Anolis sagrei: one gene and its partner. The protein of the gene in region 1 binds, or shares a complex with, the protein of each later gene. Links are inferred from orthologs where the notes say so. Each region holds a gene or a part of one and is shown on either strand. Other genes may lie near its edges.

Region 1 (7,527 bases):
GTGGCTAAAGATGGTCAAGGAGCTGTAATAGCTACAAAATTATGTGCAATGAGCTTTGGAATGGCCTCGGATTACAATTGTGGGTGCCATGATTTTTAATAGTGATTGCAATGTTTTATGTGTTTTAATGTGCATTAAATTTTAAATTTTCAATCTTTAACTTAATGTATTTTAACTGTTTGTTGTTCAAAGGCACTGAATGGTTGCTATATGGAAAGCCATCTTGAGTCCCCTTTAGGATAGAGAAAGACAAGATACAAATAGAGTAAATAAATAGTAAATTGGCTCAAGTAAGAATAAAACCTTCAACTCTCTTATACACAAAGGGAGGGAGAGGGATCCTCCCTCCACTCAATTTTCCAGTTCATGTTTTTCTTTTTTTATACCAGGAAGTCAGAAGTTGGTGCCCTGGTGTTTCCAGCTCTCCTTTTAAATTGTTTTCAACGTATTTCCAGCTCTCCTTTTAAATTGTTTTCAAACAATCACAATGGTGATTTCTGAGCATGGCAAACTAATTTACTTCCAATTTGCATAGAATTTATGAAGAATAACAAAGATATATAAAGCGTCCCCATATTGTCTCAAAGACAAGGCTTCTGTTTATTGTGACTCTGTGCCAAATGTAGTTGTAGACACAGGGACAAGCTTCCTGAAAATCTCAAAGTTGTTTCACAGTAGTTTTATAGGTACGAAGAAAGACATTTGCCATGGGATAAAAACATGGAAAGGGATGAACTTTGAGCCCTCCTTCCGCACTCACAACCTCAAGGAAAACCATTATTATGACTATTAGCCACCACTGCCATCACCCATTAATGAATGTCCATATTATCAGGAACCATGTCACTCTCCCTGAGCACGTTAATGCAGCACACAATATGAATGCCAAAACAGGTCTAGTTTTTCAAAGGTCTCCCCTTCTACACCTCAGTTGTTAACTTTCATGTATGAACCAAATCACATAGGATAAGAAGTGGGAAAATTTACTATAGTTTTTCAGTATCTCATAAGGTCTCAATCAATTCAACATAGTTTGTGGCAGCCACAAAAACAAAGTTTCTAGGGTATAACAACTACTTTCAAAGTGAGTACCGTACAATTAAACAGGAAATAACACTTGCAGACCGGGAACAGATTTTTTTCTCTCCAAATTTTGTTACATATTATCATGTCAACTTCCTATGGAATCCTGGGATTTCCCATTTGGAGTCCACAGCAAGAGAGGTTCTCAGATTACACCAAAACCAGAAACGAGACCTATTGCAAGCCTCTAAGCCAGGGGTCCTCAAACATTTTAAACAGGGGGCCAGGTCACAGTGCCTCGAACTGTTGGAGGGCCGGATTATAATTTGAAAAAAGCATGAATGAATTCCTATGCACACTGCACATGTTTTATTTGTAGTGCAAAAAACACTTTAAAACAATGTTATAATTAAAATGAAGAACAATTTTAACAAATATAAACTCAAATATCAATGAGAAGTGTGGGGCTGCTTTTGGCTGATGAGATAGGATTGTTGTTGTTGTGTGCTTTCAAGTCATTTCAGACTTAGGTTGATCCTGAGCGAGGGCCGGGTAAATGATCTTGGAAGGCTGTATCCGGCCCCCAGGCCTTAGTTTGAGGACCCCTGCTCTAAGCCCTTGCTCATCTTAAAACCAGAGGTCTATTTACACATTCATTCCCAACAAAGGCACAAGTATCAGTAAGTGTACAAATTATTTCCTTATTTCTTTATTTTATTTACTTCACTTGTATACCGCTATTCTCAGCCCTTAGGCGACTCATAGCAGTTAACAACAAAATAGCAAAAATTCAATGCAGCATAACAAGGTATTTAAAAACAATTAACAATTAACACAATAGCAGACTAAGCAATTAAACAACAATAAACATTCATTCATTGGCATCTCATAACTAGAATCATGATCCAAACTCGTCGTCCATAGTTCCATTTCCTAAAATTCATTGCACTGCCTATTCAAACGCCTGTTCAAATAACCAGGTTTTCACTTTTCTCCGAAATACCATCAATGAGGGAGCTGATCTAATGTCCATGGGAAGGGCGTTCCACAGCCGAGGGGCCACCACCGAGATACAACAACTATTAGTATTATACAACAACTATTAGTAATAATACAATGGATTTGTTCATTCTGAAACATGGCTTTTCTTTTGAAATACATTCACAAAACCTATAATTTGAGCACAGCTGAAAATTCAAATCCATTACCTAACACACATTCATTTGAGAGTAAATGGGGTCAAATTTCCAAAATTACATTAGTCTTTATTCTTCTGGTTTATCCTATTGGTCCACAACAACAACAACATTATTTAGGTGTAAAGTGAGCTATCTCACTATAGTTGCTGGGTGACGTTTGTCTTTCATGCCTTCTAACTAAACCAGTGATTCCCAAACCTTTTTGACTAGGGATCTCTCTGACCAGGGACCACTCTCCAACATTAGTATCAAAAGGGTTACAAATCAGTTTTTGGTCAATTTTAAATTTGGTTTGGTTATTTGGGGTGCTGATTCAGAAAATTGCATTAGATAGACCACATCAGCTCTAGTTCTGATACAGAACATATGCCATCGAGTAGTTACCATCTGTTCACCCACAGAAAACAATATTTAATAAGCCTCGGTACTATGACAGGGTTTTGCGAGACCAGTCGCTCTTGTTGCAATAGTGTAGTAATGGTGAGGCCACAGACCATATTTTAGTTCTTGCAGAACACCGGTGGTACACAGTTCGCTGGTTGGAAACCACTGAACTAAGCAGTGCCAGTTGAACTTGAGGCTAATGAAGAAAACAGACAGAAACTACATTTGCTTTGACTTTTGTCTCTTTTCTCTCTTGAGAGTTGGCTACCATGTCACAATGTACCAGTCCACTCACATCCATTTTTATCTCTTTCAATGCTATCAAAAGCTGCCTTCCTCATTTCCATCTTTTCTTTTTCTTCTCTCTTTCTTTCTAACCTCACCCCGCAACTCACCATCTGCCACGAGCAGGCCTGAAACATTTCTTCTTGATGTAGTTCTTGCAAATATGAAGACGTTCGCACCCATCACACTCATTCCTCAGACACAGACGCACCGGAGAGATTGCCAGCACCTGAGACGAGGTGCCTTGCTCATTGACCAGAAATCTTTCCTCCCCAGATTGCTCCAAGATCTGCCTTAACTGGTGGTCGGGAAGCCCCAAAACAGGAAGAATCTCCTGATAACTTGAGCTGCCCCCCATGGAGCAAAGGATCTTGGTGATAAAACTACACACAACCGGATCAGTCATGATCAATCTCTGGTCTGTCCACCTGTCTGTTAAAGAGTTGTTTGGTTTCAAGTCAGACCAACCTAGGCTCCACCTATTTTCCCTGCAACTCCGAAGAGAATCGAAACTGAAGACAAGTAACTCCCTGGCAACTTAACTCTGTCATATGAATGCTGGAAACAGAAAGTCAACAAAGGTAGATCATTGATAGCACCACCTGACCTAAAGGGAGGCAAAGGGTGATTTATCAAAAATTCTTGGCGACTGAATTGCATTTTGAGCGAATGTCATCATTCTTGTTTTATTTAGGATTTAGGACTGTTTTATTTAGGATTACAGGGTGGTGGGGCAGTACTGATTTTAACTGTCATGTTTTGGCTTGGCTTTTAAAAAATGTACATTGTATTAGTTTCTGGCCACAAAGTGGAGTCCACAACATGCGGGTGTGGAGAAGAGCAAACCACAGACCACCTATCGCAATGCAGTCTGAGCCCTGCCACGTGCATAATGGAGGACCTTCTTATAGCAACACCAGAGGCACTCCAAGTGGCCAGCTATTAGTCGAAGGACATTTAGTACAAGGCCAAGTTTTTAAAACTTTGTGTTTTTTAAAATATATTACAACTGTACCCTCAGTTCACTTCTGATACGACAAATAAAAAATAAATAAATTGGATTAGTTTGCCCTAGGCCAATCAGCAGGATTAAAATCTGCAAATAAATAATGGCCTTTGTTGTTCATTCGTTCAGTCATCTCCGACTCTTCGTGACCTCATGGACCAGCCCACGCCAGAGCTCCCTGTCAGCCGTCACCACCTCCAGCTCCTTCAAGGTCAGTCCAGTCACTTCAAGGATGCCATCCATCCATCTTGCCTTTGGTCGGCCCCTCTTCCTTTTACCTTCCACTTTCCCCAGCATAATTGTCTTCTCTAGGCTTTGCTGTCTCCTCATGATGTGGCCAAAGTACTTCAGCTTTGTCTCTAGTATCCTTCCCTCCAATGAGCAGTCGGGCTTTATTTCCTGGAGGATGGACTGGTTGGATCTTCTCGCAGTCCAAGGCACTCTCAGAACTAATGGCCTAGTTGACCATTTTCACTCTACAACTATGGAGAGGGGCCCCACTGATGCTCAAAGGATATTCCAGGCATCACCATGCCATGGAGGCTACCTAGTCCTCATATCCAAGCTTGAAAGAGTTACTTCTCAACCATGGAATCTTCAGGAAGCCTCACTCTCTCAGCCTCAAAGGAAGGCAAAGGCAAACCTCCTTTGAAAAAAATTACCATGAAAACCCTATGATTTAATCTCTATACACTGAAAATAACATTTGGAAGACACATAATAACAACCAGACTGTTCTGTTCTTACTTTAAGAACAGAAAAAAATGGTAAGTATAATTTTAGCTGTCATAAAATTATCATTTTTGGTATATTATAATAACAATTTTATTATTATTATCAGACAGTAATTACAAATGGAATTGAATTTTCCTTTTCAAACATTCCTTTTTGTGGCACTACAAGGGGAGGAACTGTGGGGAACCATTTTGGTTTTGCCTATTTATTAACAGCAGGCAGATACCAATAAATTTATTATTATTTTATTTATTTGCTATACTTGTATACCGCCGTTTCTCAGCCTAGCCGGCGACTCAACGCGGTTTACACAACTTATAACAAACAACAGTATACAGTTTAAAAGCATAAAAACACGATCCACAATACATATATCAATAAACCATCCAATTCATCTCTTGACTAAAATCGCGATCCAGTTTCGTCGTCCAAATTGCCAGTCCTTCAATCATTACACTTATTGCACTGAGTTAACCGAACGCCTGCTCGAACATCCAGGTTTTTAGTCTTTTCCGGAAAACCATCAATGAGGGGGCTGATCTTACCTCCATGGGGAGGGCGTTCCATAGCCGCGGGGCCATCACAGAAAAGGCCCTGTCTCTCGTCCCTGCCAGCCGCACCTGTGAAGCAGGCGGGATAGAGAGCAGGGCCCCCCCAGAAGATCTTAGGGTTCTGGTGGGCTGATAGGTTGAGATACGTTCGGATAGGTAAGTTGGGCCAGAACCGTTTAGGGCTTTAAAGGCCAGCGCCAGCACTTTGAATTGAGCCCGGTAGCAGATCGGCAGCCAGTGGAGCTGGTGCAGCAGAGGAGTTGTATGCTCCCTGTGCTCCGCTCCAGTTAGTATCATGGCTGCCGAGCGTTGGACTAATTGGAGCTTCCGGGCCGTCTTCAAAGGCAACCCCACGTAGAGAGCATTGCAGTAGTCTAAACGGGATGTAACCAGAGCGTGGACTACCGTGGCCAAGTCAGACTTCCCAAGGTACGGGCGCAGTTGGCGCACGAGTTTTAACTGTGCGAATGCTCCCCTGGTCACCGCTGAAACCTGGGGTTCCAGGCTCAACGATGAGTCCAGGATCACACCCAAACTGCGAACCTGTGTCTTCAGGGGGAGTGCGACCCCATCCAACACAGGCTGTAACCCTATACCCTGTTCGGCCTTACGACTGACCAGGAGTACCTCTGTCTTGTCTGGATTCAATTTCAATTTGTTCGCCCCCATCCAGACTGTACATCCACTCTTTGCAGATACTTTTGGGTGAAGAACACAACAGAAAGCCTTCAAATAGATACTTCCAAAGTGTACCTGCCATGGCTCAATGCCATGGGATTCTGGGAGTTGTACTTTTATCATGATCTTTAGTCTTCTCTGCCAAAGAGTGCTGGTGCCTCACTAAAAAACAAATCCCAGGGTTTTATAGCACTGAGCCATGATGGTTAAAGTGGTGTCAAATACATTAATGCTAAAGTGTAGGTGTACCCTAGGGAATCTCACGGGGAAAATAGGAAATCAGAAACTCCCTCTTGTTTCCGAACAAATGTAATCATGGATCTAAAAAAGACAGTACCTTCCAAAAATTAAGGAACCAGTGTGATTTGCACATTTGACTCCACATTCAGCCATAGAAACCCATTGGGAGACCTTAGGGGAGTTACACACTCTCAGCCTCAGAAATCCCTGTGATAGGGTCATCATAGGATGTTCATATGTTGGGAACAATTGAAAGAACACAGCAACAACAACAGAAATTAACAATATATAAACAGAAATTCTTCCTTATGTTGCTCAAATAACAAGCATAAGGCAGAACTGAAACCACAACTTCTGTTTATTCAAAAACTCATGTGATATTAAAGCCAAAGAGACGAGTCATCAGCAGAAGCACTGAAAGGTTGTTGACAATGTACACACAAATTCACTGATACACCCTAGCCACACTCAGCGCTATCACACTGTTAAATATTTATTGTTAAATTTTGTTGTTGTTCATTTCCTTCAACTGTCAAAAATCAAAACATCCTTTGAAGTTACATCTACCTTGCTTACATCAGACCTTTGTATCGGTATCAGTTCTATTTTAATGGACTGTTAGACCCGTCGCAAACTAGCCTCCTGCGGGAGCAAACTGTGCCAGCACGTCCCTGACGTCGTGAGACTGCGCCTCTCTCTCCGCCCCTTTCTCCGCCTCTTTCTCCATGCCAGAGTGGTTTTTCCTTCGCTAGGGCAGCATTGCCAGCGTACTCTCGTTGTTGAATTAGGCCCGTCGCAAACTCTGTTCCTGCGAGAGAAACCTTGCTAGCAAGTCCCTGACGTCACGAGACTCCGCCTCTCTCCCCGCCCCTTTCTCTGCCCCTTTCTCCATGCGAGCGTGGTTTTTCCTCTGCTAGGGCAGCATTGCCCGCATTTTCTCTCAGTTGGCAGAATTCAACTGAGAGAAAATGCGGGCAATGCTGCCCTAGCAAAGGAAAAACCACGCTCGCAAAGAGAAAGGGGCGGAGAAAGGGGCGGGGAGAGAGGCGCAGGCTCGTGACGTCAGGGACTTGCTAGCAAGGTTTCTCTCGCAGGAACAGAGTTTGCGACGGGCCTTATGTCAACAACAAGAGTACGCTGGCAATGCTGCCCTAGCAAAGGAAAAACCACGCTCGCAAAGAGAAAGGGGCGGAGAAAGGGGCGGGGAGAGAGGCGCAGGCTCGTGACGTCAGGGACTTGCTAGCAAGGTTTCTCTCGCAGGAAAAGAGTTTGCGACGGGCCTTATGTCAACAACAAGAGTACGCTGGCAATGCTGCCCTAGCAAAGGAAAAACCACTCTGGCACAGAGAAAGGGGCGGAGAGAGAGGCGCAGTCTCATGACGTCAGGGACGTGCTGGCACAGTTTGCTCCCGCAGGAGGCTAGTTT
Region 2 (7,473 bases), on another chromosome or scaffold:
TTATATAAGGGGAAGCTTTGGAGGAAGGAAACCAAGGAAAACACCTGGGGACAAAGGGTAATGCCGTGAAGTCAACAGGAAGGAAGATACGCAAGGCAACTGAAAGGAAATAGGGGTTGCGAAACAGAGAAGGACAGAAGGTGATGTGGTTGAAGACACGAGTCTGGAAAAAGTGTAACGGGGACAACAAGAAAAATAAGTTTATGGTGCAAAAGTGTGAAATTAGACTTTCCCCACTTTCCTGTTGATTTCCGCTTAATTTTCTTACATGGGTCATGCTGCTTCTGCTGTTAACAAGTAAACACCATACATTTGAAATAGAACACAACAAGGACCTGAAGCAGGCATGGGCAAACTTTGGCCCTCCAGGTGTTTTGGACTTCAACTCCCACAATTCCTAACAGAAATCATCTCTGAACAAATGCCAAGAAAAGTTCATGATCACCTGTTGTTGTGCGTCTTCAAATTGTTTCCAACTTTTGGCAACCCTAGGGCTATCGTGTTTTCTGGGGACAAATCACCACCTTGTGATTAACTGAACTGTTATTTTGCTGCAAGCTCCTTTTACGAAATGCTTCCTGTTTTAAGAGTGTTAAGAAAAACAAGGTAATTAAGTCACAATTATAGAGAAAACATCTATGTGCAGCAGTGCAAGGTGATAGGTCTCCTATGTACCTTAATAAAATGCTTGTGAAATGTTTTATCTAGGATATTACCGGCCCAGCCACACCACAAAATACACAGAAGACAGTCCTGGTGGAGATTTTGATTTCTTTTCTCGCCTAGTAACTCGCTGGGAAGCAGTGGCTCGAATCCCTGGTGACGTCACACGCCAAGCAGTTGTGAGATCTGGTGAGACGAAGCACAGGATAGGCCGATTGCTCAAAGTATAATTGGATGGGTTGAGCATCCTCTATTGATACATTGGTTGGATTGTGTTAATTTTGTGATTGTTTTAAATTTGATATATAATAATAATAATAATAATAATAATGATCTATTTATTTATTAATATTAATTTATTTACTAATATTAATTAATTAATTAAATTATTAATAATTATTTACCGAATTATTTATTTATCAATAATTATTTAAGTGGCCTGCACTTAAACACAATCGGCGCTGACAAGATTACCATCTGCCAGCTGCAAAAGGCCACCCTACTGAGATCTGCACGCATTATTCGCCGATACATCACACAGTCCTAGAGACTTGGGAAGTGCCCAACGTGTGATCCAATACATCAGCCAGCAGAGTGATCTTGTCTGCTGTGAATTCATCTTGTTGTGTTTCAAATAATAATAATAATAATAATAATAATAATAATACGACTCTGTCACAAGCCAGTAAAGGTGGTCCCAGTGATGATCGGCACACTGGGTGCAGTGCGTAAAGACCTTGGCCTGCACTTAAACACAATTGGCGCTGACAAATTTACCATCTGTCAGCTGCAAAAGGCCACTATACTGGGATATGCACGCATTATTCGCTGATACATCACACCATCCTATACACTTGGGAAGTGTCTGACGTGTGATCCAATACAACAGCCAGCAGAGTGATCTTGTTTGTTGTGGATTCATCTTGTTGTGTTTCAAATAATAATAATAATAATAATAATAATAACAACAACAACAACAACAGGCCAGTGAATGTGGTCCCAGTGGTGATCGGCACACTGGGTGCAGTGGCTAAAGACCTTGGCCTGCACTTAAACATATTTGGCGCTGAAAAGATAATAATAATAACAACAAGCCAGTGAATTATTATTATTATTAAACTTTATTTGTATCCCGCTAGCATCTCCCACAGGACTCGATGCGGCTTACAAAGGCCAAGGCCTCAACAAACAATACAACAAAACCTAGGCAAATTAAACCAATTAAAGCAATCTAAAACAACAAGCAATGAACAATCCACTAAGGCACAATAAAACTGGGCCGGGCCAGAGTAAGGGTACAAGGGTTAAAAGTGCTGATGTGACAGGTGGAAATGAGGCTCATGGACAAGTGCAGTGTGCAATGTGCGGCCGTCTTGGCTTTAATAAAGTCCTTGTGGGACTTGGTAATGGAGGTTTCCTATTCAGGAAAGGCACATCGGAACTGTAATGCACTCTACGTTGGGCTGCCCTTGAAAACGGCTCGGAAATTCCAACTGGTCCAACGAGCAGCAGCCAGGATGTTGACTGGCGCTCCCTACAGAGAGAGGTCAACCCTCCTGTTCAAGGAGCTCCACTGGCTGCCGTTTATCTACCGAGCCCAATTTAAGGTGCAGGTGCTTACCTACAAAGCCCTGAACGGTTTGGGACCAGCCTACCTGCATGACCGCATCTCCGTCTACAAACCCACAGGCTCTCTCCGTTCATCTGGAGAGGCCCTGCTTGTGATCCCACCTGCGTCGCAAGCGCGTTTGGTGGGGACACGAGACAGGGCCTTTTCCGTGGTGGCCCCCCGACTCTGGAACACCCTCCCCAAATATCTTAGACAGGCTCCTACATTGGCAGTCTTCAGAAAGAACTTGAAGACCTGAATGTGGTCCCAGTGGTGATCGGCACACTGGGTGCAGTGGCTAAAGACCTTGGCCTGCACTTAAACATAATTGGCGCTGAAAAGATAATAATAATAATAATAATAATAATAATAATAACAACAATAACAAGCCAGTCAATGTGGTCCCAGTGGTGATCGGCACACTGGGTGCAGTGCTTAAAGACCTGCACTTAAACATAATTGGCGCTGACAAGATAATAATAATAACAACAACAACACAACCAGTACAGGTGGTCCCAGCGGTCATCGGCAGACTGGGTGCCGTGCTAAAAGATCTCAGCGGCATTTGGAAACAATAAACATTGACAAAATTACGATCTGTCAACTGCAAAAGGCCACCTGACTTGGATCTGCGTGCATCATTTGAAAATACATCACACAGTCCTAGATGCTTAGGAAGTGTTCGACTTGTGATTTTGTGATACGAAATCCAGCATATAGATCTTGTTTGCTTTTTTTTTTTTTTTTTTTGTCGTCATGTCAGGAGTGACTTGAGAAACTGCAAGTTGCTTCTGGTGTGAGTGAATTGGCCTTCTGCAAGGACGTTGCCCAGGGCACGCCCGGATGATTTGATGTTTTTATCATCCTTGTGGGAGGCTTCTTTCATGTCCCCGCATGAGGTGCTGGAGCTGATAGAGGGAGCTCATCCGCCTCTACCTGGATTCGAACCTGCGACCTGTCGGTCTTCACTCCTGCTGGCACAGGGGTTTAACCCACTGTGCCACCGGGGGCTCCTCTCGTTTGCTGTGGCATACTGTGTTTTTGTGTCAGTAAAATAATAATAATAATAATAATAATAATAATAATAATAATACATTTGATATGTTACTTATTTTGTTTTATGTTATCTACTATGTTTTATGACCATAAGCTGCTTTGGGTCCCTTGTTGGGAGATGCGGCGGAGTATAAATAAAGTGATGTGGAAAGTTCTCAGAACTAAACATTGCTCTCTAAATGGCTATTGTTCCTTTACTTGAACACAGGTGTTGTGCTGGGCAGAGACGGCGGTGCCATCGCCCAAATGCTGTGGCCCTTTCGCCTCGGTGTGGGAGGGCCCATCGGCTCTGGCCGCCAGCCTTTTCCTTGGATCCACGTGGCGGATTTGGCGGGCATTTTGGCCCATGCGTTGGAACGGGAAGGAGTCAGCGGGATCCTGAACGGCGTCTCACCAACTGCTGTTACCACCACAAATAAGGACTTTGCCCAAGTGATGGGGTCAGTGCTCAGGCGGCCCGCCCTGTTGCCCCTGCCGGGTTTTGCCATTTCGGCCATTTTTGGCCCCGAACGAAGCATCATGTTGCTGGAAGGGCAGCGAGTGGAGCCCAAGCGGACTCTGGAGAGCGGCTACAGCTTTGCGTTCCCTGATCTTCCCTCTGCCCTCCGGGATATCTTAGTCTGAGCTGATAAAAAAGAAACCTAGGCGGTATCAGTTATATATAATGCTGCTGCTGGTGTGTTATAAATTATCAGATGCATTATACTGTAAGATTATATTTACTTGAAGCCATGGATATGTCCAAAGATCATTATATTACCATTATAGAGCAGAGATACAGCAAAGAATACATTTCATCTTCACTATATTTCAAATGGTAATAAATGAGTGGGTTGTTGTGAGTTTTCCGGGCTGTATGGCCATGTTCCAGAAGCACTCTGTCCTGACGTTTCACCCACATCTATGGTAGGCATCCTCTGAGGTTGAAGGGTCTGTTGTAAACTAGGCAAGTGGGGTTTATATATCTGTGGAAGGTCCAGGGTGGGAGAAAGGACTCTTATGTGTTAGAGGCATGTGTGAATGTTGCAATTGGCCACCTTAATTAGCATTGAATGGCCTTGCAACTTCAAAGCCTGGCTGGTTGCTGCCTGGAGAAATCCTTTGTTGGGAGGTGTTAGCTGGTCCTGATTGTTTCTTGTCTGGAATTCCCCTGTGGCCAGTTGCAACATTCACACTTGCCTCAAGCAGACAAGAGTTCTTTCTCCCACCCTGGACATTATTCCACAGATATATAAACCCAATTTTTCTAGTTTCCAACGGACCTCACAACTTCTGAGGATGAGGAAGAACTTCCTGACTGTGAGAGCCATTCAGCAGTGGAACTCTCTGCCCCGGAGTGTGGTGGAGGCTCCTTCTTTGGAAGCTTTTAAACAGAGGCTGGATGGCCATCTGTCAAGCGTGATTTAAATGCAATATTTCTGCTTCTTGGCAGGGGGTTGGACTGGATGGCCCACGAGGTCTCTTCCAACTCTTTGATTCTATGATTCTATGCCTGCCATAGATGTGGGTGAAACGTCAGGAGAGGGTGCTTCTGGAACATGGCCATACAGCCTGGGAAACTCACAGCAACCGAGACATCGGTTTGGTTGTTAAGAAACCTTTTTCGTCTATTTGGGGCATTGTATTGTCGAAGGCATCTCTTGCCGAGGCTTTCACTAGATGGCACTACAGTTGCCGGACGTCCTCGAAGGCCAAGAGGGCGGGCGATAAATTATGAAGGGAATTTCCCAGAGAAAACAAACAAATACAACAGTCATTTCTTTTGCCCCACATCTGGACTTGTTTATAACTTTTTCAGCACAGGGACGAAGGGACTTTAAGAAGAGGACTCCGATTTTCAAGGTAAGACGCCAGGAACGGAAAACCAAGGGCAGAACCTCAAGTGACATTTTAAGGCTGATGTGTCGCTTACATTTTCCAAATTTCGAGACAGATCTGTATTGATTTAAGGCGTTCCACAGGGTGGGACTTCAAAACCTGCCTTTCGCCTTGCGATAAATGAAATAGTAATGCAAGAGGAACATGGGGAGAGAGAGAAAAAGAGTGGATGAACGTATCTTTAAATGCCTTTCACAAACTTTATTCCCATTGGAGATCGCTTCTGGAGCTGTCAAAGGCTTTCATGGCCAGAATTACTGGGTTGTTGTGAGTTTTCTGGGTTTTTTGGCCATGTTCCTGAAGCATTCTCTCCTGATGTTTTGCCCGCATCTATGGCAGGCATCCTCAGAGGTTGTGAGGTCTGTTGGAAACTAGGAAAATGGGGTAAACAAAGAGCGACACTCAAAAATAGGGGAATTCCAGACAAGAAATAATCAGGGCCAACTAATCACCTCCCAACAAAGGATTCCCCTAGGCAGTAAGAAGCTAGACCTTGAAACTGCTAAGCCATTCAATGCTAATCAAGGTGGCCAATTGCAACATTCGCATCTACCTCAAACAGACAAGAGTTCTTTCTCCCACCCTGGACATTATTCGACAGATATATAAACCCCAGTTTTTCCATATGCAGATTTTCACCTTTATTGTGTGTATAGATGTCATTTATTTATTTACAGTACTAGCTTGGGAACCCGGCGCTGCCTGGGTTATTAGAGAAAGTGGGTAATGGCGGTTCTGTAGGCCAAGTTTGGTCTTTATTGGTCATTGGATGACGGTTGCATTGTTTTCGGGAAGTGAGTGAAGGTACTTGAAGTCCCATCATCCATGGTCCAGCCTCCTCCAAACAGCAGCAGGATATAGAGTGGGTCATGGGGGCTCTGTGTGCCAAGTTTGGTCTTTATCAGTCATTGGATGAGGGTGGTAGTGGTTTCAGTAAGTGAGTGAAGGTACTGCAAGCCCCATCATCCATGATCCACCCTCCTCCAAACTGAAACAGGATGTAGATAGGGTCATGGGGGCTCTGTGTGCCAAGTTTGGTCTTTATCAGTCATTGGATGAGGGTGGTAGTGGTTTCAGTAAGTGAGTGAAGGTACTGCAAGTCCCATCATCCATGGTCCAGCCTCCTCCAAACAGCAGCAGGATATAGAGTGGGTCATGGGGGCTCTGCGTGCCAAGTTTGGTCTTTATCAGTCATTGGATGAGGGTGGTAGTGGTTTCAACAAGTGAGTGAAGGTACTGCAAGTCCCATCATCCATGATCCACCCTTCTCCAAACTGAAACAGGATGTAGATAGGGTCATGAGGGCTCTTTGTGCCAAGTTTGGTCTTGATCAGTCATTGGTTCAGGATCGCAGCGGTTTCAGTAAGTGAGTGATGATACTGCAAGTCCCATCATCCATGGTCAACCCTCGGATCACAATGGACATATACATGGTAAACATTCAATGCCACAGGCACACAACATATATAGACAGGCACACAGAGGCTATTTAATTTTCCAGTTTCATGAGGGTATGCTTTTTGAATTCCAGCCACCAGGGGAGTTGTTGCTTCACTTGTGACACCGCTGGAGTACTTCCTCATTCTTTTGCACTCTGCTGGAGAGTTTTATGGCGTCGTAAATTAGTTAAATTTGCCTTCCCACATAAATGGTACCTAATTTTCCTACTTGACAGATGCAACTGTCTTTGGGCTGTAAAGGTTGACAGCAAGCTAGACAAATGGTCGGGAGCTTACTCCGACCCAAGATGGCTTCGAACTCATGACCTTTCTGTCAGTAGTTATTTTTAATGCAGCTGACTCCCAACCTGCTGTGCCAGAACCCAGTCCAATGTATAGATGTATCGATGATAATGATGATTGCTTATTTCCTTGTTTTGAATTTACCTTAAAAGGAGCAATATTAACCCACAGGTGTCATGGCTATCTTTAAAAAAGGGAACTGTGCCATCATCATAAGCTCCAAACTATGATGGGGTGAGTGAGATCAGCCTTGGGGTGACTTCCTTTTTTACTAATGCAGATTAAATTCTGAAAAGCGATGACAGTCGAGAATAAAACGCAGACGCGCTTTGTCGCACGGCCTTCCACCTATCTCTGGGCCGGGTGGATTTTGCAATCTGGAATTTCCCCGTTGACGGCTGTGGGTGCAACCGCATGTCTGAACAGTGCTGAGGGTGTTTGAGTAAGCCAGGAAGAACTTGTAAAAAGTGAAGGAAGCAGTAAAAGGAACGGCTTTCCTTGTCCTCTCCAACCAACCCAAACATT

Evidence for each region. The genes of interacting proteins can lie anywhere in the genome.
Region 2: the proteins of protein mono-ADP-ribosyltransferase PARP12-like (region 1) and protein KHNYN are in contact, whole or in part, in a crystal structure (PDB 9BGL), measured with the Homo sapiens proteins. The link is inferred for Anolis sagrei from reciprocal best matches to the Homo sapiens genes ZC3HAV1 and KHNYN. Residues at the interface, in NP_064504.2 of Homo sapiens: Glu5, Val6, Cys8, Phe9, Lys12, Ile13, Ala16, His17, Glu29, Ile30, Ala31, Leu32, Leu113, Glu115, Phe118, Ser127, Gly128, Leu129, Asn130, Glu133; in NP_001277186.1 of Homo sapiens: His651, Lys652, Asp654, Phe655, Gln658, Arg659, Pro661, Tyr662, Asn677, Phe678.

The regions. Positions count from the first base shown.
Region 1 is NC_090025.1:101,486,569-101,494,095, forward strand, and holds the start of protein mono-ADP-ribosyltransferase PARP12-like, read right to left. Parts: upstream 3,364-7,527; 5' UTR 3,298-3,363; coding exon 3,002-3,297; intron 1-3,001.
Region 2 is NC_090026.1:12,981,234-12,988,706, reverse strand, and holds the start of protein KHNYN, read left to right. Parts: upstream 1-4,235; 5' UTR 4,236-5,170; intron 5,171-7,473. Other genes in the region: epimerase family protein SDR39U1, read left to right, coding at 709-852, 3,537-3,952.